4 linked regions of the Anolis sagrei genome follow. The protein of the gene in region 4 interacts with the protein of the main gene of each other region in a pairwise test. Links are inferred from orthologs where the notes say so. Each region holds a gene or a part of one and is shown on either strand. Other genes may lie near its edges. The genes, in order: GPSM3, RIC8A, RGS19 and GNAI1.

Evidence for each region.
Region 1: the proteins of GNAI1 (region 4) and GPSM3 interact in binary tests that used the Homo sapiens proteins (3 or more experiments, as listed by UniProt). The two-hybrid records come from large-scale screens. The link is inferred for Anolis sagrei from reciprocal best matches to the Homo sapiens genes GNAI1 and GPSM3.
Region 2: the proteins of GNAI1 (region 4) and RIC8A interact in binary tests that used the Homo sapiens proteins (3 or more experiments, as listed by UniProt). The link is inferred for Anolis sagrei from reciprocal best matches to the Homo sapiens genes GNAI1 and RIC8A.
Region 3: the proteins of GNAI1 (region 4) and RGS19 interact in a two-hybrid assay, tested with the Homo sapiens proteins (2 studies listed by BioGRID). The link is inferred for Anolis sagrei from reciprocal best matches to the Homo sapiens genes GNAI1 and RGS19.

Annotation. Positions count from the first base shown.
Region 1 is NC_090022.1:16,759,365-16,766,819, forward strand, and holds the start of GPSM3 (G-protein-signaling modulator 3), read left to right. Parts: upstream 1-4,446; 5' UTR 4,447-4,553; intron 4,554-7,455. UniProt on the Homo sapiens protein: Interacts with subunit of G(i) alpha proteins and regulates the activation of G(i) alpha proteins.
Region 2 is NC_090021.1:237,757,204-237,764,741, reverse strand, and holds the start of RIC8A (synembryn-A), read right to left. Parts: upstream 3,008-7,538; 5' UTR 2,907-3,007; intron 1-2,906. Other genes in the region: BET1L (BET1-like protein), read left to right, coding at 5,029-5,047.
Region 3 is NC_090024.1:237,536,866-237,544,093, reverse strand, and holds the start of RGS19 (regulator of G-protein signaling 19), read right to left. Parts: upstream 3,006-7,228; 5' UTR 2,629-3,005; intron 1-2,628. UniProt on the Homo sapiens protein: Inhibits signal transduction by increasing the GTPase activity of G protein alpha subunits thereby driving them into their inactive GDP-bound form. Binds to G-alpha subfamily 1 members, with the order G(i)a3 > G(i)a1 > G(o)a >> G(z)a/G(i)a2.
Region 4 is NC_090025.1:87,691,110-87,698,841, reverse strand, and holds the start of GNAI1 (guanine nucleotide-binding protein G(i) subunit alpha-1), read right to left. Parts: upstream 3,003-7,732; 5' UTR 2,683-3,002; coding exon 2,565-2,682; intron 1-2,564. UniProt on the Homo sapiens protein: Guanine nucleotide-binding proteins (G proteins) function as transducers downstream of G protein-coupled receptors (GPCRs) in numerous signaling cascades.

The sequences.
Region 1 (7,455 bases), on a different chromosome or scaffold from region 4:
ACCACATCTGGAATACTGTGTCCAATTCTGGGCACCACAATTGAAGGGAGATGTTGACAAGCTGGAATGTGTCCAGAGGAGGGCGACTAAAACGATCAAGGGTCTGGAGAACAAGCCCTATGAAGAGCAGCTTAAAGAGATGGGCATGTTTAGCCTGGAGAAGGCTGAGAGGAGACATGATGGCCATGTATAAATATGTGAGGAGAAGTCATACGGGGGGGGGGGGGGGAGCAGGCTTGTTTTCTGCTGTCTTGGAGAATGGGAAGCAATGGAACAATGACTTCAAACTACAAGAAGGGAGATTCCACCTGAACATTAGGAAGAACTTCCTGACTGTGAGAGCTGTTCAGCAGTGGAACTCTCTGCCCCAGAGTGTGGTGGAGGCTCCTCCTTTGGAGGCTTTTAAACAGAGGCTGGATGGCCATCTGTCGGGGGTGCTTTGAATGCAATTTTTCTGCTTCTTGGCAGAATGGGGTTGGGCTGGATGGCCCATGAGGTCTCTTCCAACTCTTTGATTCTATGATTTTAATCTAAAATTACAAAATCAAAGTATGCTTTTTGGATTGTTTAAAATATGTTTTCAAGTTGTGGATTATGGAATCTATAGCTGCAGAATCCCTGGATACAGAGGGTGGATTTACTTATGCTTTTTATATATACCTATACACTTAACAGAAAGGCAGTGTGGTACCCAATAATATTAATAATTTTGTGCACTAAACAAAGTTAGTGCTCATTGAGCCATTAGAAAGCAAAGGCATCACTCTCTCAGCTACCCTTGTGGATTATTTCAGATTCTGGAGACTTAACTTCCATTAGGTATTTTGGCAGAAGATAGATTTCAATGTTCTGAGCTGCTATTCTGAAAATCAGGCCATATTGGGAAATAGCCATGATGAAATGGGCAAATCTTTGCGTAGCTGCTTTCTGCAGCTGTTTATCTCCAGAATCCTGCAAATCTTTTGGGAAGACAGGCAGATCAATGTCAGCATGCTGGAAGAAGCAAAATCACCAGCACTGAAATGATGCTCCTATGCCATCAACTCTGCTGGCGTGGCCACGTTGTCCAAATGCCCAAAGATCACCATCTCCCAAAGCAGAAGCAACTTGAGAAACTTTGTGTCAGGAGCGCCTTGAGAAACTGCAAGTCATTTCTGGTGTGAGAGAATTTGCCGTCAGCAAGGACGTTGCCCAGGAGAATCTTGGATGTTTGTTGTTTTACCATCCTTGTGGGAGGCTTCACTCATGTCCCCCACATGGGGAGCTGGAGCTGACAGAGGGAGCTCAACCCGCTCTTCCTGGATTCGAACACTGACCTGTCAGTCAGCAGTCCTGCCAGCACAAGGATTTTATTCATTGCACCACTGGAGGCTCCATTCCTAAAGCAGTTACTATACTCCCAACTGAAGAATGAAAAACATAATGTTGGTGGACAGGAAAAGAGATTTTAAAATGGGCTTAAAGCTAACCTTTAAAAACTGGCATAGACACAGCGAACTGGGAAGCCCTGGCCCTTGAGCACCCTAACTGGAGGTCCAACAAAGATTAAGCCAAGAGGATCTTTAAATTGGGACTATAATTATGTGTGCATGTTTTTAACCAACTTGGTTCCAGGAGCAGATATTGGCTTGCTGGCAGGACAAATGCTCCTCCTGCAGAAAGTCCTGAATTCATAGTCTTTAGCTTGCTCTGCTAAAACTACGGGGCCCCGGGTGATGGCACAACCCTAGGGTGCCTGTGCCAGGCAGTCAGCAGGTCCAGCTGTGCCATCTGACAGAGCAAAGTGGATGCCTGAGGCCAACACTCCTACAAGTCATGAGAGGGCAGCAAATTGCAACTGGTTACATTGATTTGCACTGTGTTGCAAATCACCTCCAAGGGAGAGATGTTTGTAGGAATTTACGCCTTGGGTGTCAAAATAATTTGATCAACATCAGGATCTTGGTACTTTGCATAGCAGCGATGAAGTGGTCCAGCGTCATTCATATTTTGCTGGAGGTCCTGCCAGTCATAGCAGAGATGTAGATTATCTGGCATTTATAAGAAAACAGTTTTCCAGTGTTTATCCTGTTGCTGATATGGCATGGGATTGATCGCATGCCTGTTTTAAGCATGTCTCCTCCACTGAATGAAGGTTTTTATTCTCAGTTTTAACCCTGTAGTACTTCGCTCTGAGCTGCAAGCAAAAGATGCTATTATTCTGTTGTTGAAGGCTTTCATGGGTCTTCAGAATCACTGGATTGCTGTGAGGTTTCTGGCTGTCTGGCTATGTTCCAGAAGCATTCTCTCCCAACGTTGCACCCACATCTATGTCAGGCATCCTCAGAGGTTATGAGGTCTGTTGGAAACTAGGAAAATGAGGTTTATTTATTTATTTATTTTATTTCAATTACTTTTACCCCACCCTTCTCACCCCAAGGGGGAACTCAGGGCGGCTTACAGACGAAGGCACAATTCGATGCCTGAATCAACTAACAAATAATACAGAAAAACAATTCAAACAGTTAACAAATTAAAAACATCAATACATAATAACATAGCAAAACAATCTCATGCTCAGTGTTCAGAGTCCGTATATCTATTCCATTGCATCTGTCCTTATTTATCGTCAGATTCTTTAGCTGCCAGAATGTCCAAAGGCTTGGTCCCAAATCCAGGTCTTCAGTTTTTTCCTGAACGTCAAAAGGGAAGTCGCTGATCTAATCTCCCCAGGGAGTGAGTTCCACAGGTGAGGGGCCACCACTGAGAAGGCCCTGCTCCTCGTCCCCGCCAACCTCACTTGTGATAGTGGCGGGGTTGAGAGCAGGGCCTCCCCAGATGATATACCTGTGGGATGTCTGGGGAGGGAGAAAGACCTCTTGTCTGCTTGATAAAATACAGCTATATTTATTGTTTTTGTTGATGCTATTATTATTATATTAATTATTATATTAATTATTATTATATTTATTATTATTATTTGAAACACAACAAGATGAGTCCACAGCAGACACTCTGCTGGCTGTTGTATTGGATGACACATCGGACACTTCCCAATTGTCTAGGACTGTGTGATGTATCGGCGAATAATGTGTGCAGATCCCAGTAAGGTGGCCTTCTGCAGCTGGCAGATGGTAATTTTGTCAGTGCCGATTGTGTTTAAGTGCAGGCCAAGGTCTTTAGGCATTGCACCCAGTGTGCCAATCACCACTGGGACCCCCTTTACTGGCTTGTTCCAGAGTCTTTGCAGTTCAATCTTTAAATCCTCATATCGTGTCAGCTTTTCCAGTTGTTTCTCTTCACTCCTGCTGCCACCTGGGATTGCAACATCGACAATCCATACTTTGTTTTTTAACACAATTGTGAGGTCAGGAGTTCTTCTTCTTCTTCTTCTTCTTCTTCTTCTTCTTATTATTATTATTATTATTATTATTATTATCCGCTGGATAATGGAGAAAGGCAGGGAGTTTCAGAACAACATCTATTTCTGTTTTATTGACTATTCTAAAAGTGTTGACTGTGTGGATCATAATAAATTGTGGCAAGTTGATGGTATGGGGATACCAAGTACCCTTGTCTGTCTCCTGAGGAATCTGTATAACAACTATGTAGCAACAGTAAAAACAGAATGGTTCAAGATTTGGAAAGGAGTATGGCAGGGCTGTCTACTCTCACCCACCCTACTTAACATATCATGCAACTTGCAGGGCTTGATGAATCCAAGGATGGAGTTAAAATTGCTGGAAGAAACATTAACAACCTTAGATATGCAGACGATACCATTTTGAAGGCTGAAAGAGTGGAGAAGATGAGGAGCCTTCTAACCAAGCTGAAAAAAGAAAGTGCAAAAGCTGGGTTGCAGTTAAACATTTAAAAAACCAAGATTATGACAACCAGGCTGATCCATGAGGTCATGAAGAGATGCTATTTTAAATTGTAAGTCGCTCAGACCACCTTGCTGGAGAGCGACTAATTAAGAAATAAAGTGAAGCGAAGTGAAGTGAAGGTGATCAGTTGAAACATTCACACCTAGCTCCAGCAGGGAAGAGCTCCTTGCCCCACCCCAGCCATTCCACAGATATATAAACCCATTGTCCTAATTCCAACAGACCTCACTACCTCTAAGGATGCTTGCCATAGATGCAAGCGAAACGTCAGGAGAAATGCCTCTAGAACATGGCTCTATAGCCCGAAAAAACCCACAAGAACCTAGTGATTCCAGCCATGAAAGCCTTCGACAATACATTGAAGTGAAGTCACTTCATTCTGAGAAAGCTTCACACACCTGGCTCTTTCGCTTGTCTCATTGGTTTTGAGACCAATGGGAAGAGAGACAGAAAGAAAGTTGGCGTGAGAAACATACTATATAGCAAGAGCAGGAAGCGGTAGTAGCTTCCCGTGTAGAAATAAGAGGCGTAGCCAGCCAAACAGATCAAGCAAAACCAAGAAGGAAGGAGAAAAGTGACAGTAGGCTGAGTCTCCTGAAGACAAAGCAACAGTCACACAAAAGAGAAGGAAGATGGTCATTTGGCACAGGCGCCAGTGGTGGAAATAATACGAGAGGGGCACAAAAGGTGAGCACAATGGTAAAAATGGGATTTCCAAGACTGGAGTGATCAGTAGCCAAGAATGGGTGAGTCTATAGAATGAATGCAGTTTGATGCCCCTTTTACCACTTGATCAATGCTATAGAATCAAAGGGAGCTGTAGTTTTACAAGGTCTTTAGTCTTTTCTGTCAAAGAGTATTGGTTCCTCACCAAATTCCAAATTACATGATTCCATAGCGTTGAGCTAAGGCAGTGAAAGTGGCATCAAACTGCATTCATTCTATATTGAAGATACACTCAAGGTAGCTGGGTGTTGTGGAAGTATAATGAGTTATTTGTTTTTTTGGCTCAATGCTATGGTATCTTGGGAGCTGTCATTTGATGAGGCACCAGCACTCTGATGGAGAAGGATCAAGACCTTGTAAAACTTCAACTCCCATGATTTGATGTCATTCTATTTTTAACTACTGGAGCTTTATTTATTAGCTAAGACAGTAGTTCTCAACCTTCCTAATGCCATGACTCCTTAATACAGTTCTTCATGTTGTGATGACCCCCAAACATAAAATTATTTTCATTTCTACTTCACAACTGTAATTTTGCTACTGTTCTGAATCGTAATGTAAATATCTGATATGCAGGATGTATTTTCATTTACAGGATGAAATTAGGCACAAATACCCAATATGCCCAAATTTGAATACTGGTGGGGTTGCGAGGGGGGGGGGGATAGATTTCATAATTTGGGAGTTGTAGTTGCTGGGATTTATAGTTCACCTAATCAAAGAGCATTCTGAACTATGTGGCCAGCATGACTGCATGGGTCACTGTTACCTTCCCACCAAGGTGGTACCTATTGATCAACTCACATGTGCATGTTTTTGAACTGCTAGGTTGGCAGAAGCTGGGCCTAATAGCGGAAGCTCACCCTGCTCCCTAGATTTGAACTGCCAACTTTTCAGTCAGCAAGTTCAGCAGCTCAGTGGTTTAAACCTTTGTGCAATCAGGGGGCCCACCGCCTGGTATTGTATGCAAATTGTAATATGACACTATATAGTGAAATAAGCATGTGCAATGCCAACTAGTTGATGTAACCATTTTCATATTGAGCAAAAAAAAAACAAAACACCCAAGTATTTCACACATAACCAGTTAGGATCTTTGTATGCTGATGAAGGGAAAATCTGATGCTATAAATATCATGTTGAAACTTTTGCTCAGCATTTGGTCCTTTGAGAAATCTCTCTGAGTTTAGGCCTTCTTGCAAATTGCTGTCCGGAAGCTGCTGAGTGATTTCCAATATTTGGTGTGATCATGGACCTGATGCACCGAGCAAGGAATTTGCCAGCTCTAATAATAATAATAATAATAATAATAATAATAATAATAATAATCCCAGTGGTGATCAGCACACAAGGTGCAGTGCCTAAAGGCCTTGGCCTGAACTTAAACACAATCGACGCTGACAAAATTACCATTTGTCAGCTGCAAAAGGCCACCCTACTGGGATCCGAACACATTATTCACTGATTGGGAAATGTCCAACATGTGATCTAATACGACAACCAGCGCTGCGTACTAATCCTGCTGTGTTTCTAATAATATTAATATTAAGAATAATAGTAATAGTAATAGTAATAATGTTATTTGTTACCCATCTCCTCATGTCTCAATGCAGGACACAACACATAATGCATCCCCATAAAATCCATACAATAACATGCATGCATTAAAGCACATTTCTATAAAATGCACATATTAAAATGCAGGGTACAAATATTGCAATGCAATAATGATAAATTTAAAATTCATGATTTAAAACTGGGTTTAGTGGCCATATTCCAAACCCCCTAAAAACCCCAAAATCCTAAGCACATCTGTTCTGAAGCATTGTGGCAAGGGGATTCCTGTTTAGTTATCATCTATTGCTGACCCTTTTGGATTATACACCTTATTTCCTTAGACCTGAATTTTCCATATACCTTTAATGTATTTTTACAGTAAACTGATTGCTTATACTCAGGACTCTTGTGTGGTGCTGTGGTCATCGGTGGCTTCAGGCCTGGGGTGCAACACTCAAATACAAGTTGATACCACTGTGAGTTGTATTTTGTTGCATCACCAGCTATCTTGGGCAGAGATGACGAAAGGTCTTGTAAAACTATGGCTTCCAGGATTCAATAGCATTGACCCATGGCAATTAAAGTGGTGTCCAACTGTATTAATTCTAAAGCATATATGGTGTGTGGGTGGGAGCTTAATCATTTTGGCTTCACCACGGTTCCACTTGGATTTGGGGCTTTCATGCTTGTGATTCGGGATGATAAAGGGGGGAAATGGACATTAAGAGGAACATTCCTTCCATGAACAGTCGTGGGCAGAGGTAAAATGTGAAAGCCTTTTCTTCCATGACATTGCCCCGTGAAGGCAATTTGCATCCTTGTAACCAACTCATATCACACTTGGTTGGGTCCAACAGTGTGAAATATTCACCCACAACGGTTGCATTGCAATCCACAGGAGAGTTTTCTGTTGCTTCCTGCTGCCTGGGGAGGAAAAAATACCTTATGTGAGGCACTGCTTGCAACACCTTGAACTCTGTGACTTCCCAAGCGGTTGCAAAACATCTCTTTTCCCAAGTGCCTTTTATTTGCCATAGCAAAGAGATTCTGAGCATGTGCAGAGTCAGCATCAACTGCAACGTTTTTGGCAACGTTGAAATATTTCTAATGGTGATGATCACACAATTCATGTGGCTTCTAGCTGACTCTGACATGTGAGAAGTTTCTAGGAATGATTTATTCCAAGTAGGTTCAATAGCTCCTTCCTCTTAGGGCAGTGTTTCTCAACCTTACTAATGCCACGACCCCTTAATACAGTTCCTCACGTTGTGGTGACCCCCAACCATAATATTATTTTCATTGCTAC
Region 2 (7,538 bases), on a different chromosome or scaffold from region 4:
AAGAGTTAGGCATGTTTAACCTGCAGAAGAGAAAGCTGAGAGGAGACATGATGAGGGACATGTATAAATAAGTGAGGGGAAGTCATAGGGAAGAGGGAGCAGGGTTGTTTTCTGCTGCCCTGGAGACTAGGATGGGCCAGAACCGCCCCATCCAGCCTAACATTTAGGAAATGGGTGAAGACGTGGCTGTGGAGTCAGGCCTTCGAGGAATGAGACAACACCATAGGACCCTGGATGGAAGTTGATGTAGATCCATCTTAATAGGACGACTGACCACAGTAGTTTTAGACATAGTGTTATTTTAAAGTTTTTTGTAATTGTGATATATGATATTTTAATGAATGTATATGTTTTTATGGCTGTAAACCGGGCTGAGTCCCTCAACGAGGTTGAGAAGCTTGGTATACAAAACTGTGAAATAAATAAATAAATAAATAGGATGTGGAACAATGGCTTCAAATTACAGGAAAGGAGATTCCATCTGAACATTAGGAAGAATTTCCTAGCTGTGAGAGCTGTTCAGCAGTGGAACTCTCTGCCCCGGTGTATGGTGAAGGCTCCCTCTTTGGAGGCTTTCAAGAAGAATGGGTCATCTGTTGAGATGCTTTGAATGTGATTTTCCTGCTACTTGGCAGGGGGTTGGTCTAGATGGCCCACGAGGTCTCTTCCAACTCAATCATTCTATGATTCTATGATCAACACTTTTGCATAAATTGGTACATATTCTGTAATTTGGTAATAGACTGAGCTTCCCTTATCCAAAATGTCTGAGGCTACAGTGTTTTGGATCCCCCCCCCCCCCCCCCAGATTTTGGGATATTTGCATATACATTTGATTAAGACATATATTAAGATGGGCCCAAAATCTAAACACCTAATTCATTTATACTTTATAGCAGGCATGGGCCAACTCCAGCACTCCAGGTATTTTGGACTTCAACTCCCACAATTCCTAACAGCCTACCAGCTGCTAGGAATTGTAGGAATTGAAATCCAAAACACCTGAAGGGCTGAAGATTGCCCATGCCTGCCTTATAAACATAGCTTGAAGATAATGTCACACATATTTTAAATCTGTTTGAAGTCTGTGTGCATTGAACTACCAAAAAGCAGAGATGCCAGTCTCTTGGCCATCTATTTTCAAATTTGGAGTATTTCAGAATTTCAGGTAAGAGATGCAACTCAGCAGGTGTATTTCCCCTATAGGGGTCAATATAAACATTGTTGAGTGCACTAGCAGAAACAGATATTCAGAAATTATTTAATATTTTACACAAGTCAAGCCTGGACTTGTTATGAACAAAAATGTAGGTCTGGAATCAGACCTGGGATGACAATAATAATAATAATAATAATAATAATAATAATAATAATGGGCTGTTGTAGGTTTTTTGGGCTGTGAGGTTAAGGATGCTTGCCACAGATGCAGGCAAAACGTCAGGAGGGAATGCTTCTAAAACATGGCCATACAGCTGAAAAACCTACAACAACCCAGTGATTCCAGCCATGAAAGCCTTCAACAATACAACAACAACAACAACAACAACAACAACAATAATAGCTTTATTTGTATTCCTAGAGAACTCAGGGCAGATTCCAACAACAGAAGGAAAACAAAACATTTAATGCCTATACAATAAGAATAACAAATACAAATGCATTAACAAACCGCCCAAATCCCAAAAAAGTGAATGTATATCACTTTAAAATGCACATAAATCAAGTTTACAACCACATATCAAATTAAACAAACAACTCACTTAAAATTAATTTAAATTATATCTAATATGAAAATATAACTCTGGCATCACAAAGAATTCACAAGAATCAATAATGTATTTAATTATTTACCCTATTTATATCATCTTTCTCTACCCCAAGGGGGATTGAAGGCAGCCAACATATGGTAATTATTCAATGCTTTAAACACATATTATTTATTTATTTGCAAAGGGGACTCAGAGCCACTTACAAGATATATATACATAAAATATATTGTATTATTAGCAAAGTACAATATCAATATTAAATATTACTTTATTGTACTATACCATTATACTGTAATATGATTAGTAATATTACATGTAATATAAATATATAATTATAATATATTATTATTAGTATTATATTGCAATACATTATAATATTATAAATATTATATGTATATACAATATTAAAATATTACTATATTGTACTATACCATTATATTGTAATATTATTAGTAATGTTACATGTAATATAAATATATAATTATAATATCATATTATTAATAGTAGTATTATATTGCATTACATTATAATATTATAAATATTATATGTATATACAATATGTTACATTATATTACATTATTAGCATAGCATAGGAGACATACAAACATTAAGCTTAAAATCCACTGAATTAAAATGAATACATAATTTAAAAATTTAAAAAATTACATTCAGCATTAAAATCACGCCATCCATAACATCTACACCGTAGAAATAATGCAGTTTGACACCACTTTAGCTGTAGTTTTATAAGGCTTCCTCTGCCTGGGAGTGCTGGTGCCTCATCAAACTACAACTCTCATGTTCCAGAGCATTGAGTGATGGCATTTAAGGTGGTGTCAAGCTGGATTTCTTCTAAAGTGTACGCGCATCCAAGGTTTCATTTAGCCAAGCCTTGTTTACATCCTCCAAAAACCCATTGGATTCCAGTCTTGCCCAGATATCTACCTACCTTTACAAAAGGGGAGTGGTTAGGAAACATTTCCCAATCTGGTTTCCTTAATCCAAGATACAAAGTGACATATTATGATCATCGTGATTGGGATCATATCAGTATGCAACCCTCCTCCCAGCAAGCCCAGCCACCCCATTTATTGGGGAACCCAAGGGAACCCCAGGAAGGGGAAGGGCGGCTTGTACCTTCCTTTGCAGCCGAGCTGCTTGTGGTGGGAAGTCAGTCTCTTCGCCTCATTCCCTGCTGCTGCCTCCTCCTTCCTTCCTTCCCCCAGGACAAGAAAGGGAAGCCAAAAGGAAGGAAAGGCAGCCAAGAGGGGGCGCCAGTTGCCGGAGGACACCAGCACTCTTTGGCAGAGGATGCTAAAGTCTGGGTTGCTGTGAGTTTTCCGGGCTGTAGGACCCATGTTCCAGCAGCATTCTCTCCTGACGTTCCCTCTGCATCTATGGCAGGCATCCTCAAGGGTTGTGGGGTCTGCTGGAAATTAGGAAAATGGGGTTTATATATCTGTGGATACTCCAGAGTGAGAGAAAGAACTCTTGTCTGCGTGAGGCAAAGCAGCCAGGCTTTGAAGCTGCAAGGCTATTCGATGCTAATCAAGCTGGCCAATTGCAACATTCACACTTGCATCAAAAAACGAGAGGAAACTAGGAAAATAGGGTTTCTGTGGAATGTCCAAGGTGGGAGAAAGAACTCTTGTCTGCTTGGGGCAAGTGTGAGGCAAAGCAGCCAGGCTTTGAAGCTGCAAGGCTATTTGATGCTAAACAAGCTGGCCAATTGCAACACTCACACTTGCCTCAAACGGACAAGAGGAAACTAGGAAAATTGAGTTTCTGTGGTATGTCCAAGGTGTGAGAAAGAACTCTTGTCTGCTTGGGGCAAGTGTGAGGCAAAGCAGCCAGGCTTTGAAGCTGCAAGACTATTCGATGCTAATCAAGATGGCCAATTGCAACATTCACCCTTGCCTCAAACAGACAAGAGGAAACTAGAAAAATGAGGTTTCTGTGGGATGTCCAAAGTGGGAGAAAGAACTCTTGTCTGCTTGAGGCATGTGTGAAGCAAAGCAGCTAGGCTTTGAAGCTACAAGGCTATTCAATGCTAATGAAGATGGCCAATTGCAACATTCACCCTTGCCTCAAACAGATAAGAGGAAACTAGGAAAATGGGGTTTCTGTGGAATATCCAGGGTGGAAGGTGGGAGAAAGAACTCTTGTCTGCTTTGTGTGAGGCAAAGCAGCCAGGCTTTGAAGCTGCAAGGCTATTCGATGCTAATCAAGCTGGCCAATTGCAACATTCACACTTGCCTCAAATGGACAAGAGGAAACTAGGAAAATGGGGTTTCTGTGGAATGTCCAGGGTGGGAGAAAGAACTCTTGTCTGCGTGAGGCAAAGCAGCTAGGCTTTGAAACTGCAAGGCTATTTGATGCTAATCGAGCTGGCCAATTGCAACATTCACACTTGGCTCAAACAGACAAGAGGAAACTAGGAAAATGGGGTTTATGTGGAATGTCCAAAGTGGGAGAAAAAACGTTTCAATGTTTCAATGGACTACCTTGGTTAGTATTCAGTGGCCTAGCTGTTTCAAGGTCTGGCTTCATACTGCCTGGGGGAATCCTTTGTTGGGAGGTGATTAGCTGGTCCTGATTGTTTCTTGTCTCCAGACAAGAAACTCCCCTGTTTTTGAGTGTTGTTCTTCATTTACAGTGCTGATTTTGTTAGGTACTGTTAGGAATTGTGGGAGTTGAAGTCCAAAACACCTGGAGGGCCCAAGTTGGCCCATGCCTGGTAGATGCACTCCAAGACAGGCAGGACAGAAGATATTTAGAGGGGGGGGGGGAAGAAACCAGATTTGTGTAAGGACAGAAGAGAAACCAAGAAACTTGGTTCCCCCTTTTTATAGTTTATTTTTTTTGTAATTAATTTGCCAAGAATGGGGCTGGACTGGATAGCCTCTAGGGTTCCCTTCCAGCTCTATCATTCTGTAAACCTTACAGAGGCAGCAACCTACGTCACAAACAGGGGCGGGGCCAATGCTCTTGGATGCCCGAGGCGGAGAATCCAAAGGGCAGCCACTTCCTGTTCCTGCCCTCAAGAAACATGGCGGCCCATTCCCACTCAGGGAGCATGCCCTCTGGAAAAATGGCGGTCTAAGCCGCACTCTTCCGCTCTCGGGGGAGGCGCTTATCCAATCCCCGCCCCACGGCCTCCTTGCCCTCTTCCCTGATTGGTTCGTTTGCAGATCGATTGCCCTCCTTGGCACCGCCTCTCGCCTTGGCTCCGGATGGGACACGGAGGCAAGAGGCAGCCATGGCGGATTGGGGCCGAGGTAGGAAGGGAGGGAGGGAGCGGTGTCTGAGGGGAGGCGGTAGGCCTCGGAGGGAGGAGGAGAGTGGGCGCCCTTCGTTCTGCCCTAGTTAAGCCTTCCCTTTGTTTTGGGGAGAGGGCCCTCCTTCCCGTTGAAGCAGGCCTGGGCAAACTTGGGCCCTCCAGGTGTTTTGGGCTTCAACTCCCACCATTCCTAACAGCCTGTAGGGCCGAAGGTGGCCCAGGCCTGCTTTAAATGGTTCTCCCCCCACGTCTCCTTTGTTTTCTTTCACAGAAATGCCCTTTGACAGCTGAAATAGTGAGTCAGGCACAGTATTGCCCATCTTAACTCCATAGCATTGAGTCATGGCAGTTGAATCTGTTTCAAACTGCATTAGTTCACAAGTGTAGACCCACTGAATAAAAAGAAAAGGAATTATTCATGCCGGAAATTCTTGAGACCAGAAGTATTTTGGATTGTGGCATATTCACCTATATTAAATTAGGTATCCTAGAGATAGGACTCAAAAGCTAAACAGGACATTCATTTGCTTCATTTGTATATATGTGTATATATGTTATTATACATTATTATTTGATACACAAAAAGATTAGTGCACAGCAAGCAAGAACGCTGTGCTGGCTTTTGTATTTGATTACACTTCAGACACATCCCAAGTATCTGTGTGATGTATTAGGAAATAATGTATGCAGAACCAGGTAGGGTGGCCTATTGCAACTGACAAATGGTAATATTGTAGGCGCCGACTGTTTTTAAGTGCAGGCCAAGGTATTTAGGCACTGTACCCAGTGTGCCGATCACCACTGGGACCACCTTTACTGGCTTGTGCCAGAGTCTTTGCATTCATTTATGATACATTATCATCATCATCATCATCATCATCATCATCATCATCATTAAGGAGCCCCCGGTGGCGCAGTGGGTTAAACCCCCCCTCCCCGTGCCGGCAGGACTGAAGACCGACAGGTCGCAGGTTCGAATCTGGGGAGAGGCGGATGAGCTCCCTCTGTCAGCTCTAGCTCCTCATGCGGGGACATGAGAGAAGCCTCCCACAAGGATGATAAAAACATCAAAATCATCCAGGCATCCCCTGGGCAACATCCTTGCAGACAGCCAATTCTCTCACAACAGAAGGTACTTGCTCCTGACACGACAAAAAAAAATCATGTTTATTTATACCCCATTTTATCTCTCCGAAGGCAACTAAAAGTGGCTTGACATTAACACATCAGCATAACCATTTAAAATATACAAGTATTGTTGTTGTTGCTATTATTACTTATATTACTTATATTATTACTTGTTACTTATAATATATTATTACTTTATCTCCCCAAAGGTGACTAAAAGCAGCTTGACATAAAAGCATCAGCATAATCTTTTACAAATATACAATTAGTATTATTATTATTATTGTGGTTATGTTTGTTTATACCCTGCTTTATCTCCCTTGAAGGCAGCTCAAAGCAACTCAATATAAAAGCATCAGCATAAACATTTACAAATATACAAACATTAAAACAGGATTAAATATAAACAGTATTCAAAAACTTTGCTTAATTTGTTGAGTCACTGGCTTATTTATTTATTGTTTATTCCTATCCTTACAATCAAAAGGAAGGCTACAAGTTAAGAATAACTTTACATAGCCTAAGAGTCCTTTCATAAACAGTTTTAAAGAATTTCAGGCATGCAGCAAAGTTCGTATATACTGATCCATCAGAAAGCAAATGTCTTGCTACTTTCTTATTTCAGTGGACTTCTGTCCTTCCCCAAAATGTTTGGGATGGCTGTGTTTTGGATTTTTTCAGATTCTAAAATCCTTGCCTATCAGTAATGAGACATCATGGAGATGTGACACCCACAACATTCATTTATGATTCATACATGCATATATAGCCTCAAGGTTGTTTTATATACAAAGATTTTTTTTAAAATAATTTTGTGCGTGAAACCAGGTTGGACATATTGAACCCTTAGAAAAAACAAAGATGTTACTTTCTCAGCCATTGTGCTGAGATTGGATTTGGGGATTTATGAATAAGGGATATTCCAACCCTGTATTTCCATTATTGGTTTCTCCATTTGTTCTGCTTTCATTTTGGGTGGTTATGTGTGGAAACTGATTTTTTTTAATACTGTTACATTTAATTCTGTTTTAATATTTGCATATTTTTATATTTAAAATTATGTGGTCATACTTTTAATGTAAGCCACTTTGAGTCTCCTTTGGGAGAGATAAAGCGGGGTATTGGTGAGGAGGAGGAGGAGGAGGAGGAGGAGGAGGAGGAGAAGAAGAAGAAGAGCAATAATAATAGTAATAGTAATAATGGTGGTTACATGGGGTTAAGCAAAGTTCTCCAATTATGGATCCTGGCTGGACAGCAGTAGAAAAAGAGTGTGGCATTAAAGAATATAAAATGGTTATATGAGACACTGTTTTTATTGAAATGCATGTAAACTACCAGCATGACTTTCTATGACGGCAATG
Region 3 (7,228 bases), on a different chromosome or scaffold from region 4:
CTGGGTTGTTGTGAGTTTTCCGGGCTGCCCTTCCACACAGTCCTATATCGCAGAAAATCCCACAATATCTGCTTGGAACTGGGGGCTCTTCCACACAGCCTTATATCCCAGGAATATCAAGGCAAAAAATCTCACAATATCGGCTTTGGACTGGATTATCTGAGTCCACACTCAGATAACGTGGGATTTCCTGCCTTGATATTCTGGGATAAAGGGCTGTGTGGAAGAGTTCTGCGTTATCTGAGTCCACACTCAGATAATGTGAGATTTCCTGTCTTGATATTCCAGTATATAGGGCTGTGTGGAAGGGCCCTGCATTATCTGAGTACACACTCATGTAATGTGGAATTTCCTGCTTTGATATTCTGGGCTATAGGACTGTGTGGAAGGGTTCTGTGTTATCTCTCCACACGCTGATAATGTGGGATTTTCCGCCTTGATATCCTGTGTGGAAGGGTCCTGCGTTATCTGAGTCCACACTCAGATAATGTGGGATTTCCTGCCTTGATATTCCAGGATATAAGGCTGTTCTGCATTATTTGAGTCCTCACTCAGATAATGTAGGATTTCCTGCCTTGATATTCCAGGATATAAGGCTGTTCTGCATTATCTGAGGCCTCACTCAGATAATGTAGGATTTTCTGCCTTGATATTCCGGGATATAGGGCTATGTGGAAGGGCCCTACGTTATCTCAATCCATACTCTGATAATATGAAATTTCCTGCCTTGATATCCTGTGTGGAAGGGTCCTGCATTATCTCAGTCCACAATCAGATAATGTGGAATTTCCTGACTTGATATTCCAGTATATAGGGCTGTGTGGAAGGGCCCTGCGTTATCTGAGTACACACTCATGTAATGTGGGATTTCCTGCTTTGATATTCTGGGATATAGGGCTGTGTAGAAGAGCCCTGTGTTATCTGTCGACACGCTGATAATGTGGGATTTTCTGTCTTGATATCCTGTGAGGAAGGGTCCTGCGTTATCTGAGTCCACACTCAGATAATGTGGGATTTCCTGCCTTGATATTCCAGGATATAGGGCTGTGTGGAAGGGGCCTGGATTATCTGAGTCCTCACTCAGATAATGTGGGATTTCCTGCCTTGATACCCTGTGTGGAAGGGTCCTGCATTATCTCAGTCCACATTCAGATAATGTGGGATTTTCTGCCTTGATATTCCGAGATATAGGGCTGTGTGGAAGAGTCCTACATTATCTCAGTCCACACTCAGATAATGTGGGATTTCCTGCCTTGATATTCCAGAATCTAAGGCTGTGTGGAAGGGCCCTGTGTTATCTCAGTCCACACTCAGATAATGTGGAATTTCCTGCCTTGATATCCTGGGAGATAAGGCTGTGTGGAAGGGTTCTGTGTTATCTGAGTCCACACTCAGATAATGTGGGATTTTCTGCCTTGATATCCTGGGAGATAAGGCTGTGTGGAAGGGCCCTGCGTTAGCTCAGTCCACACTCAGATAATGTGGGATTTCCTGCCTTGATATTCCAGGATATAAGGCTGTTCTGCGTTATCTGAGTCCTCACTCAGATAATGTAGGATTTTCTGCCTCAATATTCCGGGATATAGGGCTGTGTGGAAGGGCCCTGCGTTCTCTCAGTCCATACTCAGATAATGTGGGATTTCCTGCCATGATATCCTGTGTGGAAGGGTCCTGCGTTATCTGAGTACATACTCAGATAATGTGGGATTTCCTGCCTTGATATTCCAGGATAGAGGGCTGTGTGGAAGGCCCTACTGTTGTAAAGAGATGGATTTGCAAGACCAAAACTCCTGCGACTGGCCTTGTGAAGCCTCAGGCAGCCTTTGATCTGGTGGGTCCCCAGGTATTGCCCTCCAAGAGGCAAGGAAAGGAAGCCACCTGAATAAAAGGTTTGGGGTACAAGAAAGGTGACCCTTCAAGAGGAAGAAACTGGTTGCCCTGATGGGGTTCCTCCCAAAGGGATCTTAATGGCACTCAACGCCTTGCTCTGCCATCGCCCCAAACATCTCTCTCCTTTTTGCCTTGAGCCTCTTTGGCCAAACCTGGCACATGGCTCTCATTAGGAGCCAGCCTTGCAGACCATGGCATGCCTTCTTCCTACCTGGTAGGAACCTCAGGAAGAAGAGAAGGAGGGGGGTTCAAGGGGAGACCCCAAACCCAGGTCTTCCTCTCCCATTCCACGCCAGCAAGCTCTCCCTCCCTGTTTCCCCTCTATTGCAATCCGGCCGCACACTTGATGCATTCACCCGACAACACGCGCCTGCCTTTCCCTTCCTAAATTTAATACATTTGTGAATATATCTCTCCTTTGCAAGACTGTTTCTCCTTCGGCCCCTTCTCCCCTTCCCCTCGGCTTTGCCAAAGGGCCCAGGTCCCTTCCCAAGATACAGATGTAGCCAAACCTCATCCAAAAAGGAGAGGAAAAGCAGGAGAAGCAGCACAGGAAACTGAGGAAAAGGCGAGGGAGCCTCAGCCAGGTTGGATCCGATTTCACTCCCAAGGAAACACCTCCCTCCCCCCCCTCACCCCCCTCCCTTTTGCCCAATCCTGGGCAGAGTTGCCCTCTCCAATGGAGGTCCCTTTTGGCAAAGGCACTCAACCCAAACTCAGGGGGTTTTGGGGACTCACGTTTGGTGCATCCGAGATCCCTGCCGCACATCCGTCCCTTTTTCCCTTTCCAATCCCCTATTTTTTTCCTCCGCCGCCTCTTCTTTTTTAGCTCCCTTTTTGGGGAGGAAGAAGGGGTGCCAAGGGAGGAGGAAGAGGTGGAGGTGGGGAAGCCACTTGGAGAGAGAGGAAAAAAAATCAAAAAAAGGGGAAGAAAAATACTGGCTGGCAGGGTCTCTCCACTGCGCAGGCGTCCCCCAGCCCCGGCGATTGACTTCCGAAAGCAAAGGGCTGTTTTTTTGCACTTCCTTGCCTGCTCCGCTTTATTTATTTATATTTGGCAGGATCTGGGCGAGAAGGGGGGAAAAAAGGAGAAGGTCTTCCTTCTGCCCACCTCCGCTTGGCTGCTTTCCTCGGCCTTTCCCCGGTTGCAAGGCAATCCCAGGCGGGGAAAAAAAAAAAAAAAGAGAAGATGAGCCTTCATGCAGCTTGCAACAGCAGCCCAGAGGAGTCCAAGGAGGGGAAACACACTCACCTCTGCAATGCATCTCCTGACAGATTTTCTGTAGAATCAAAGAGTTGGAAGAGAGGCTGGATGGCCATCTGTCAGGGGTGATTTGAATGCAATATTCCTGCTTCATGGCAGGCTGGATGGCCATCTGTCAGGGGTGGTTTGAATGCAATATTCCTGCTTCTTGGCAGAATGGGGTTGGACTGGATGGCCCATGAGGTCTCTTCCAACTCTTTGATTCTATGATTCTATGAGACCTCGTGGGCCATCCAGTCCAACCCCATTCTGCCAAGAAGAAGGAAAATTGCGTTCAAAATACCCCCGACAGATGGCCATCCAGCCTCTGCTTAAAAGCCTCCAAAGAAGGAGCCTCCACCACACTCTGGGGTAGAGAGTTCCACTTCTCAACAGCTCTCACAGTCAGAAAGTTCTTCCTAATGTTCAGTAGTTTGTAGTTTGAAGCCATTAGAATCATAGAATCAAAGAGTTGGAAGAGACCTCATGGGCCATCCAGTCCAACCCCATTCTATTGGATTCAAAGCACCCCTGACAGATGGCCATCCAGCCTCTGTTTAAAAGCCTCCAAAGAAGGAGCCTCCACCACACTCCGGGGCAGAGAGTTCCACTGCTGAACAGCTCTCACAGTCAGGAAGTTCTTCCTCATGTTCAGATGGAATCTCCTCTCTTGTAGTTTGAAGCCATTGTTCCTTGTCCTAGTCTCCATGGAAGCAGTAAACAAGCTTGCTCCCTCCTCCCTGTGGCTTCCTCTCACATATTTATACATGGCTATCATATCTCCTCTCAGCCTTCTCTTCTTCAGGCTAAACATGCCGAGCTCCTTAAGCTGCTCCTCATAGGGCTTGTTCTCCAGACCCTTGATCATTTTAGTCGCTCTCCTCTGGACACATTCCAGCTTGTCAATATCTCTCTTGGATTGTGGTGCCCAGAATTGGACACAATATTCCAGGTGTGGTCTAACCAAAGCAGAATAGAGCATGGGGAGCACAACTTCCATGTTGCAACAAATAAGGTATAGGGTTTGCTCTCTAGAAGCCCAAGAAGGGTTTGGCTTGTTTCCTTATCCATACCTTGTATTTCATAGAATCATAGAATCAAAGAGTTGGAAGAGACCTCGTGGGCCATCCAGTCCAACCCCATTCTGCCAAGAAGCAGGAATATTGCATTCAAATCACCCCTGACAGATGGCCATCCAGCCCCTGTTTAAAAGCTTCCAAAGAAGGAGCCTCCACCACACTCTGAGACAGAGAGTTCCACTGCTGAACAGCTCTCACAGTCAGAAAGTTCTTCCTAATGTTCAGGTGGAATCGCCTTTTTTGTAGTTTGAAGCCATTGTTCCGTGTCCTAGTCTCCAGGGCAGCAGAAAACAAGCTTGCTCCCTCCTCCCTATGACTTTCTCTCACATATTTATACATGGCTATCATGTCTCCTCTCAGCCTTCTCTTCTTCTGGCTAAACATTCTCAGCTCTTTAAGCCACTCCTCATAGGGATCTTTAAGCCACTCCTCATAGGGCTGTTTAAAAGCTTCCAAAGAAGGAGCCTCCACCACACTCCAGGGCAGAGAGTTCCACTGCTGAACGGCTCTCACAGTCAGAAAGTTCTTCCTAATGTTCAGGTGACATCTCCTTCCTTGTAGTTTGAAGCCATTGTTCCGTGTCCTAGTCTCCAGGGCAGCAGAAAACAAGCTTGCTCCCTCCTCCCTGTGACTTCCTCTCACTTATTTATACATGGCTATTATGTCTAAAATGTGGAGGCCATGACAGACTGTATTTCTAGGTGCAAAGATTACTGCAGATGCAGAATGTAGCCTGGAAATCAGAAGACACTTACTTCTTGGGAGGAGAGCAATGTCCAATCTCAATAAAATAGTGAAGAGTGGAGACATCAGACTGGCAACGAAGATCCGCCTAGTCAAAGCCATGGTATTCCCTGTAGTCACCTACGGATGTGAGAGCTGGACCTTAGGGAAGGCTGAGCGAAGGAAGATCGATGCTTTTGAACTATGGTGCTGGAGGAAAGTTCTGAGAGTGCCTTGGACTGCGAGAAGATCCAACCAGTCCATCCTCCAGGAAATAAAGCCCGACTGCTCACTGGAGGGAAGGATACTAGAGACAAAGTTGAGGTCCTTTGGCCACATCATGAGGAGACAGGAAAGCCTAGAGAAGGGAATGATGCTGGGGAAAGTGGAAGGCAAAAGGAAGAGGGGCCGACCAAGGGCAAGATGGATGGATGGCATCCTTGAAGTGACTGGACTGACCTTGAAGGAGCTGGGGGTGGTGATGTCCGACAGGGAGCTCTGCCGTGGGCTGGTCCATGAGGTCACGAAGAGTCGGAGACGACTGAACGAATGAACAACAACAATCATGTCTCCTCTCAGCCTTCTCTTCTGCAGGCTAAACATGCCCAGCTCTTTAAGCCGCTCCTCATAGGGCTTGTTCTCCAGACCCTTGATCATTTTAGTCGCCCTCCTCTGGACACATTCCATCTTATCAGCATCTTCCTTCAAATGGGTTTTCCCCCTTCCAAAACAGATTTCTTCTTGCAAAAGCAATATGAATGTCCGACATGCCAACAACCTGGGGCCTCCTGCCTAGTGGAACCATCCCTACAGAAACAATACACTTCTGGAATGAATGAATGAATGAATGATGGGTCTACAATACCCGAAAGGCAGCAGATCCCATCTGATCTTGGAGGCTGAGTCCTCTTCCACACAGCTGTATAAAATCCACATTGAATTGGATTATATGGCAATCTGTACTCAGATAATCCAGCTCAAAGCAGATATTGTGGATTATTTGCCTTGATGTTCTGGGTTATATGGTTGTGTAGAAGGGCTCTTAGCCTTAGATGGAAGACTAAGGATCATTTTAGTCGCCCTCCTCGACACATTGCAACTTGTCAACATCTCCCTTCAATAATGGTGCCCAGAAGTGGACGCAATATTCCAGATGTGGTCTAACCTTGTCTTCCTTCCTTCCTTCCCTTCCCCTTCCCCTTCCTGCCTCCCTCCCTCCCTCCCTCCCTTCCCCCCTCCCTCCCTCCCTTCCCCCCTTATCTCTCCATGGGAAGTTACTCCTGCATGGCCAGGCACTTTCCCTCTGCCGTTTGGACTTGCTTCTGAGTTGTCTTGGATCTTAATCTTGGATCAAGGATGGAGAACCCTTTTCATACCTAGTTGGGAGAGCTGCTGGGCTTTTGAGATTGTACAAGAACATCCGGTATATAAAAGACCGGTATATAAAAGTTCTAAATAAATAAATAAATAAATTTCCATTTCTAAGCTGAAGAGCCGGCGTTGTCCATAGACACCTCCAAGGTCATGTTGGCTGGTATGACTGCATGGAGCACAATTACCTTCCCGCAGACGGTACCTATTGATCTACTCACATTTGCATGTTTTCAAACTGCTAGGTTGGCAGGAGCTGGGGCTAACAGCGGGAGTTCACACCGCTCCCCGGATTCAAACTTGTAACCTTTCGATCACAAAGTTCAGCAACTCAGCACTTTAACCCATTTTGCCACTGAGGGCTCCTAGAGGTATATATGGCTTTCCCATCTTCGGCATCTTGGAGGTTGTGCTCGATTCTGGCCACAGGGGGTGCTCTTGCTCCATCCAATATGCCAAAGAGCCCTGTCCACAGACTTCCTCCTTTGATTGAATAGCCTGCATTTCATATATATATATATTTCCTTATGGTGCCATGTAATATACCTTCCAAATTAAGCGGTACCTATTTATCTACTTGGGCCCCCTTGGTGATGCAGCGGGTTAAACCACTTAGCTGCTGAACTTGCTGACCAAAAAGTGTGCGGTTCACATCCGGAGAGCGGAGTGAACTCTCACTGTTAGGCCCAGTTTCTGCCAACCTAGCCGTTTGAACACATGCAAATGTGAGCAGATCAATAGTTACCGCTTCTGCGAGAAGGCTACGGTGCTTCATGCAGTCATGCTGGCCACATGACCTTGGAGGTATCTATGAACAATGCAGGCTCTTTGGCTTAGAAATGGAATTGAGCACCATCCCCAGAGTCAGACACGACTAGACTGTATGCCAGGGGAAACCTTTACCTTTTTATTTATCTACTCA
Region 4 (7,732 bases):
AAGCCGCACCAAGTCCCTTGGGGAGATAGTAGCCGGGTACAAATAAAGTTTATTATTATTATTATTATTATACATGGCTATCATATCTCCTCTCAGCCTTCTCTCCTTCAGGCTAAACATGCCCAGCTCCTTAAGCCGCTCCTCATAGGGCTTGTTCTCCAGACCCTTGATCATTTTAGTGGCCCTCCTCTGGACACATTCCAGCTTGTCAACATCTCCCTTCAATTGTGGTGCCCAGAATTGGACACAATATTCCAGGCGTGGTCTAACCAAAGCGGAATAGAGGGGTAGCATTACTTCCCTAGATCTAGACACTATGTTCCTATTGATGCAGGCCAAAATCAGGTGCTCTGCTATGGCTGATTTCTCTGGTTGAAGTAGTCTGTTGTGCCTTTCATGTTCCTTGATTCGTGTTTGGGCGATGCTGCGTTTGGTAGCATGACTTCCCTGGATCTAGAGTTTTGGAGTTGGTTCCCATCTCTATGCAGATGACACACAACTCTACTACTCTTTTCCACCAAATTCCAAGCTCCTTAAGTCGGGTGCTGGACGAGTGTCAGGGTAAACAAGCCCAGCTTTTTAAGCCGCTCCTCATGGGGCTTGTTCTCCAGACCCTTAATCGTTTTAGTCGCCCTCCTCTGGACACATTCCAGCTTGTCAATATCTCTCTTCAAATGTGGTGCCCAGAATAGGACACAATATTCCAGCAGTGGTCTAACCAAGGTGGAATAGAGGGGTAGCATGACTTCCCTGGATCTAGACACTTTGCTATCCGGAGTTTTGGAGTTGGTTGCCATCTTTATGCAGATGACACACAACTCTACTACTCTTTTCCACCAAATTCCAAGGAAGCCCCTCGGGTGCTGGACGAGTGTCAGGCTAAACATGCCCAGCTCTTTAAGCCGTTCCTCATAGGGCTTGTTCTCCAGACCCTTAATCGTTTTAGTCGTCCTCCTCTGGACACATTCCAGCTTGTCAATATCTCTCTTCAAATGTGGTGCCCAGAATGGGACACAATATTCCAGGTGTAGTATAACCAAGGAAGAATAGAGGAGTAGCATTACTTACCTAGATCTAGAGTTTTGGAGTTGGTTGCCATCTCTATGCAGATGACACACAACTCTACTACTCTTTTCCACCAAATTCCAAGGAAGCCCCTCGGGTGCTGGACGAGTGTCAGGCTAAACATGCCCAGCTCTTTAAGCCGTTCCTCATAGGGCTTGTTCTCCAGACCCTTAATCGTTTTAGTCGCCCTCCTCTGGACACATTCCAGCTTGTCAATATCTCTCTTCAAATATGGTGCCCAGAATGGGACACAATATTCCAGGTGTGGTCTAACCAAAGCAGAATAGAAGGGTAGTATTACTTCCCTAGATCTAGAGTTTTGGAGTTGGTTGCCATCTCTATGCAGATGACACACAACTCTACTACTCTTTTCCACCAAATTCCAAGGAAGCCCCTCGGGTGCTGGACGAGTGTCAGACTAAACAAGCCCAGCTCTTTAAGCCGCTCCTCATAGGGCTTGTTCTCCAGACCCTTGATCATTTTAGTTGCCGTCTCTGGACACATTCCAGCTTGTCAATATCTCTCTTGAATTGTGGTGCCTAAAATTGGACACAATATTCCAGGTGTGGTCTAACCAAAGCGGAATAGAGGGGTAGCATGACTTCCCTAGATCTAGACACTATGCTTCTATTGATGCAGGCCAAAATCAGGTACTCTGCTATGGCTGATTTCTCTGGTTGAAGTAGTCTGCAGTGCCTTTCATGTTCCTTGATTCGTGTTTGGGCGATGCTGCGTTTGGTAGCATGACTTCCCTGGATCTAGAGTTTTGGAGTTGGTTGCCATCTCTATATGCAGATGACACACAACTCTACTACTCTTTTCCACCAAATTCCAAGGAAGCCCCTCGGGTGCTGGACGAGTGTCAGGCTAAACATGCCCAGCTCTTTAAGCCGTTCCTTATAGGGCTTGTTCTTCAGACCCTTGATCATTTTGGTCGCCCTCCTCTGGACACATTCCAGCTTGTCAATATCTCTCTTGAATTGTGGTGCCCAGAATTGGACACAATATTCCAGGTGTGGCCGAACCAAGGCAGAATAGAGGGGTAGCATGGCTTTCCTGGATCTAGAGTTTTGGAGTTGGTTGCCATCTCTATGCAGATGACACACAAATTTACTACTCTTTTCCACCAAATTCCAAGGAAGCCCCTTGGGTGCTGGACGAGTGGCATGCTAAACAAGCCCAGGTCTTTAAGCCGCTCCTCATAGGGCTTGTTCTCCAGACCCTTGATCATTTTAGTCGCCCTCCTCTGGACACATTCCAGCTTGTCTTCAAATGTGGTGCCCAGAATTGGACACAATATTCCAGGTATGGTCTAACCAAGGCGGAATAGAGGGATAGCATGACTTCCCTGGATCTAGATTGATGCAGGCCAAAATCCCATTGGCATTTTTTGCCGCCACATCCCATCAATTCCGCAGAGGAAGCATCCAACCCCCAACCAACCTTGGTCTTGGAGGAAAGGGGGAAAGCCAAGCCAGGCGAGAAGGGAGCCACCTTACCCAGGAGGAGCAGCTTGACTTCCCGCGCCGCCTTCTCTCCGTCCTCCCGCAGGTTCCTGTCGATCATTTTGCTCCGCTCCACCGCCGCCTTGTCCTCGGCGCTCAGCGTGCAGCCCATGGTCCAAATACAAACACCAAGAGGCCGCCCTTTCCAAACCAACAAAGCAGCTGAAGTCCTTGGAGGGGAGGCGAGGGGAGGGGAGGGGGGTGCTCAAAAGTGCCCAGTGACTGAGTCAGAGAAGCCAAACGGGGGAAAGTGAGGGAGGGGGGGGCGCCGTCTCCTTCTTTCGGTTTCCCTCACACACGACGTTGTTGTTGTTTTGGGGTGTTGCGGGAGGGAAACCCTCCTCCCCTCACGCGCAGCACCAGCAGCAGTGCCGCCTCTATATCTCACGCGCCAGTCCGCCCGCGAGCGCGAGCGCCGAGCCTCCCTCGAGAGCGCGCGCGCGCCCGTGCCAGAGGGAGAAAGTGAAGAGCGACGGTTAGGCGTGCACTGCGCATGTGCGAAGAGGGGGGCGGGGGACGCCTGGACCTCTGCCACTTTTGGGAGTGGAGTCGACAACAGAGAGGCGGAGGGGAGCGCTCCTAGAGCGGTGGGCTTTGGACTAATTTTTCACTCCTTCACTGCAGTGTGAATCAAGGAGCCTAGAATCATCTTCTTCTTTCTATATAAATAAAAATGTAATGTTCGTTTGTGGGATTAACAGAACTCAAAAACCACTGGAAGAATTGACACCAAATTTGGACACAAGACATCTAACAACCCAATGTATGTCCTTCACTCAAAAAAAAATGATCTTGTCATTTGAGAGTTGTAGTTGCTGGGACTTATAGTTAACTTACAATCAAAGAGCATTCTGAACTCCACCAATTATGGCATTGAACCAAACCCGGCACACAGGATTCCCATGACCAACAGAAAAGACTGGAAGGGTTTGCTGGGCATTGATGTTGAATCATAGAGTTGGAAGAGACCTCATGGGCCATCCAGTCCAACCCCCTGCCAAGAAGCAGGAATATTGCATTCAAATCACCCCTGACAGATGACCATCCAGCCTCTGTTTAAAAGCTTCCAAAGAAGGAGCCTCCACCACACTCCGGGACAGAGAGTTCCACTGCTGAACGGCTCTCACAGTCAGGAAGTTCTTCCTCATGTTCAGATGGAATCTCCTCTCTTGTAGTTTGAAGCCATTGTTCCACGTCCTAGTCTCCAAGGAAGCAGAAAACAAGCTTGCTCCCTCCTCCCTGTGGCTTCCTCTCACATATTTATACATGGCTATCATATCTCCTCTCAGCCTTCTCTTCTTCAGGCTGAACATGCCCAGCTCCTTAAGCTGCTCCTCATAGGGCTTGTTCACCAGACCCTCTTCTTATATAAATAAAAATGTAATGTTCATTTGTGGGATTAACAGAACTCAAAAACCACTGGAAGAATTGACACCAAATTTGGACACAAGACACCTAACAACCCAATAAATATCCTTCACTCAAAAAATTGATTTTGTCATTTGGGAGTTGTTGCTGGGATTTATAGTTCGCCTACAATCAAAGGGCATTCTGAACTCCACTAATGATTGAATTGAACCAAAGGTGACACACAGGACTCCCACGACCAACGGAAAAGACTAAAAGGGTTTGCTGGGCATTGACCTTGAGTTTGGGAGTTGTAGTTCACCTACATCTACAGAGCACTGTGGACTCAAACAATGATGGATCTGGACCAAACTTGGCACAAATATTCCGTATGCCCAAATATGTACTCAGGTGGAGTTTTTTTTTTTTTGGGGGGGGGGATAGACTTTGGCATTTGGTAGTTGTAGTTACTGGGATTTATAGTTCACCCACAATCAAAGAGCATTCTGAATCCCACAAATGACAGAATTGGGGCAAATTTCCCACACAGACACAAACAATTATGGATCTTCACCAAACTTTACACAAATACTCAAGATGCCCAAATGTGAACACTGGAAAATAGAATCTTGCAGTTGCAGTTGCTGGGATTTATAGTTCACCTAGAATCACAGAGCATTCTGAACCCCACCAATGATAGAATTGAACCAAACCTCCCACACAGAACCCCCATGACTACCAGATTGGGCCACAGCAACGCATGACAGGGGATTATTGCAATATAGATTTATAAGACAAAGGATTCTTGTCTGCTGGAGCTAGGTATGAATGTTTCAACTGACCACCTTGATTAGCATACAATGGGCTGACTGTGCCTGATGTGGTGGCAAAACAAGCCAATGGGATTTTGGCCTGCATCAATAGGAGCATAGTGTCTAGATCTAGGGAAGTAATGCTACCCCTCTATTCCACTTTGGTTAGACCACACCTGGAATATTGTGTCCAATTCTGGGCACCACAATTCAAGAGAGATATTGACAAGCTGGAATGTGTCCAGAGGAGGGCGACTAAAATGATCAAGGGTCTGGAGAATAAACCCTATGAGGCTTAAGGAGCTGGGCATGTTTAGCCTGAAGAAGAGAAGGCTGAGAGGAGATATGATAGCCATGTATAAATATGTGAGAGGAAGCCACAGGGAGGAGGGAGCAAGCTTGTTTTCTGCTTCCTTGGAGACTAGGGCGCAGAACAATGGCTTCAAACTACAAGAGAGGAGATTCCATCTGAACATGAGGAAGAACGTCCTGACTGTGAGAGCCATTCAGCAGTGGAACTCTCTGCCCTGGAGTGTGATGGAGGCTCCTTCTTTGGAAGCTTTTAAACAGAGGCTGGATGGCCATCTGTCAGGGGTGATTTGAATGCAATATTCCTGCTTCTTGGCAGGGGGTTGGACTGGATGGCCCATGAGGTCTTTTCCAACTCTTTGATTCTATGATTCTATGATGTATGGAGCCCAACTCAGTCCCTTCTCAAACTATGCCCCTCTGCAGCAAGTACAATCAAAATTTCTAAGATCAGCGATGCAGCTCCCCCTGCAACTAGAGACAGGCCTCGTGAGAGTGGAGGCGAGATTGTGGACAGCCACCCTCAATTATTGGCTGCATCTGTCTTTCTCAACATGTGGACTTGCTCCATTAACTCTGAGAGATGAATTTCAGTCTACATGGAATAAGGTAGAGGCAGTCAAAATTGCAACTCTAGGCTTCTCTCAAGGACAACTGCTAGGTATGGGATGGGACCAAGCCAAGGATCTTATTAGAAAATGGATCCAGGATATAGAGCGACAATCAGACTTAGCCTGCTCTCCAGCATTCACCATTAGCGAAGATAGCAGATATCTCATCGCTCCCATGGCTTACTTAGCAAACCTGGAGGTGCCTAAACACTGAAGAGCTTTCGCTTTGGCAAGATGCCATGCCCTTCCATTGGCAGTACTGGAGGGGAGGTACCGGAAGACCCCTGCCCAGGAGAGACTATGCCCGTGCGAGTCTGGCTATATTGAAACAACTGAACATGTGCTCCTCCAATGTGCATTCTATAGAGACATTAGAGCTAATTTCATCACTCCATGGCTTTTAAAACATCCACGGCGCACCGAAAGATATTACACCTCCCTGTTGCTCTCGGACTCTTGCTCTGCGACAACCTACAGTGTTGCCAAGTTCTGTGCAGCAGCAATTAACATTAGACGGCTGATGACCGACTCCACCAGGCAACTTCCTGCCGGGAATATAGTTAGAATGATTTTTAATAACTGAAATGCTGTAAATGCTCCGCTCTCATCCCTTTTTAGAGCTTCCTAGTTGTCTGATATTTGTATTAGCCGCCCCCCTATTTTAGATTCATACATGCACTTTAAACTGTAAATTTAGTCTGCTTTTTAATCTGCGTCTTTTATAACATGTTTTTAATCTGCTTTTTATCTGACCTACTTGGGAACTGCGATTCCCTTCCTTGGGCTCCTGTGCCCCATTCTATTCTGTGCTGGTCAAAGACCGTAATAAATCATTGATTGATTGATTCTATGACACGTTCTATGTATCAACAGCAAATAATAGTAGCAGGCCACTTTGAGAAATGGGGAGGGGGTGACACATTCAGGAGCTGGTAAGTCCCTTTGTGACAACATTCACTTTTCTAAACGTTCATCTTTGCCCATGATTTGACAATTAGAAAACTGGGCCATGTTTGGGGAAGCAGTTGCCAATTGCTGAGCCTTCTCTAAGGCAATAACTGAAGCAATGAGTCACCTTGTCAACAGGTTTGCTGTGGAAAGAGTTGCCTACTGTCATTTCTGCCAAACAGTTTAAAGTATTCCAAAGAGATATGGACAACTCTAATGTAAATTATATGGGGAATATGTGGGAATAGTATATCATAACATCATATGTGGGATAACATATCATATCATAGAATCATAGAATCAAAGAGTTGGAAGAGACCTCATGGGCCATCCAGTCCAACCCCCTGCCAAGAAGCAGGAATATTGCATTCAAATCACCCCTGACAAATGGCCATCCAGCCTCTGCTTAAAAGCTTCCAAAGAAGGAGCCTCCACCACACTCCGGGGCAGAGAGTTCCACTGCTGAACGGCTCTCACAGTCAGGAAGTTCTTCCTAATGTTCAGATGGAATCTCCTCTCTTGTAGTTTGAAGCCATTGTTCCGCGTCCTAGTCCCCAAGGAAGCAGAAAACAAGCTTGCTCCCTCCTCCTTGTGGCTTCCTTCACATATTTATACATGGCTATCATATCTCCTCTCAGCCTTCTCTTCTTCAGGCTAAACATGCCCAGTTCCCTAAGCTGCTCCTCATAGGGCTTGTTCTCCAGACCCTTGATCATTTTAGTCGCCCTCCTCTGGACACATTCCAGCTTGTCAATATCTCTCTTGAATTGTGGTTCCCAGAATTGGACACAATATTCCAGAGGTGGTCTAACCAAAGCAGAATAGAGGGGTAGCATTACTTCCTTAGATCTAGACACTATGCTCCTATTGATGCAGGCCAAAATCCCATTGGCTTTTTTTGCCGCCGCATCACATTGTTGGCTCATGTTTAACTTGTAGTCCACGAGGACTCCAAGATCTTTTTCACACGTACTGCTCTCGAGCCAGGCGTCCCCCATTCTGTATCTTTGCATTTCATTTTTTCTGCCAAAGTGGAGTATCTTGCATTTGTCACTGTTGAACTTCATTTTGTTAGTTTTGGCCCATCTCTCTAACCTGTCAAGATCGTTTTGAATTCTGCTCCTGTCCTCTGGAC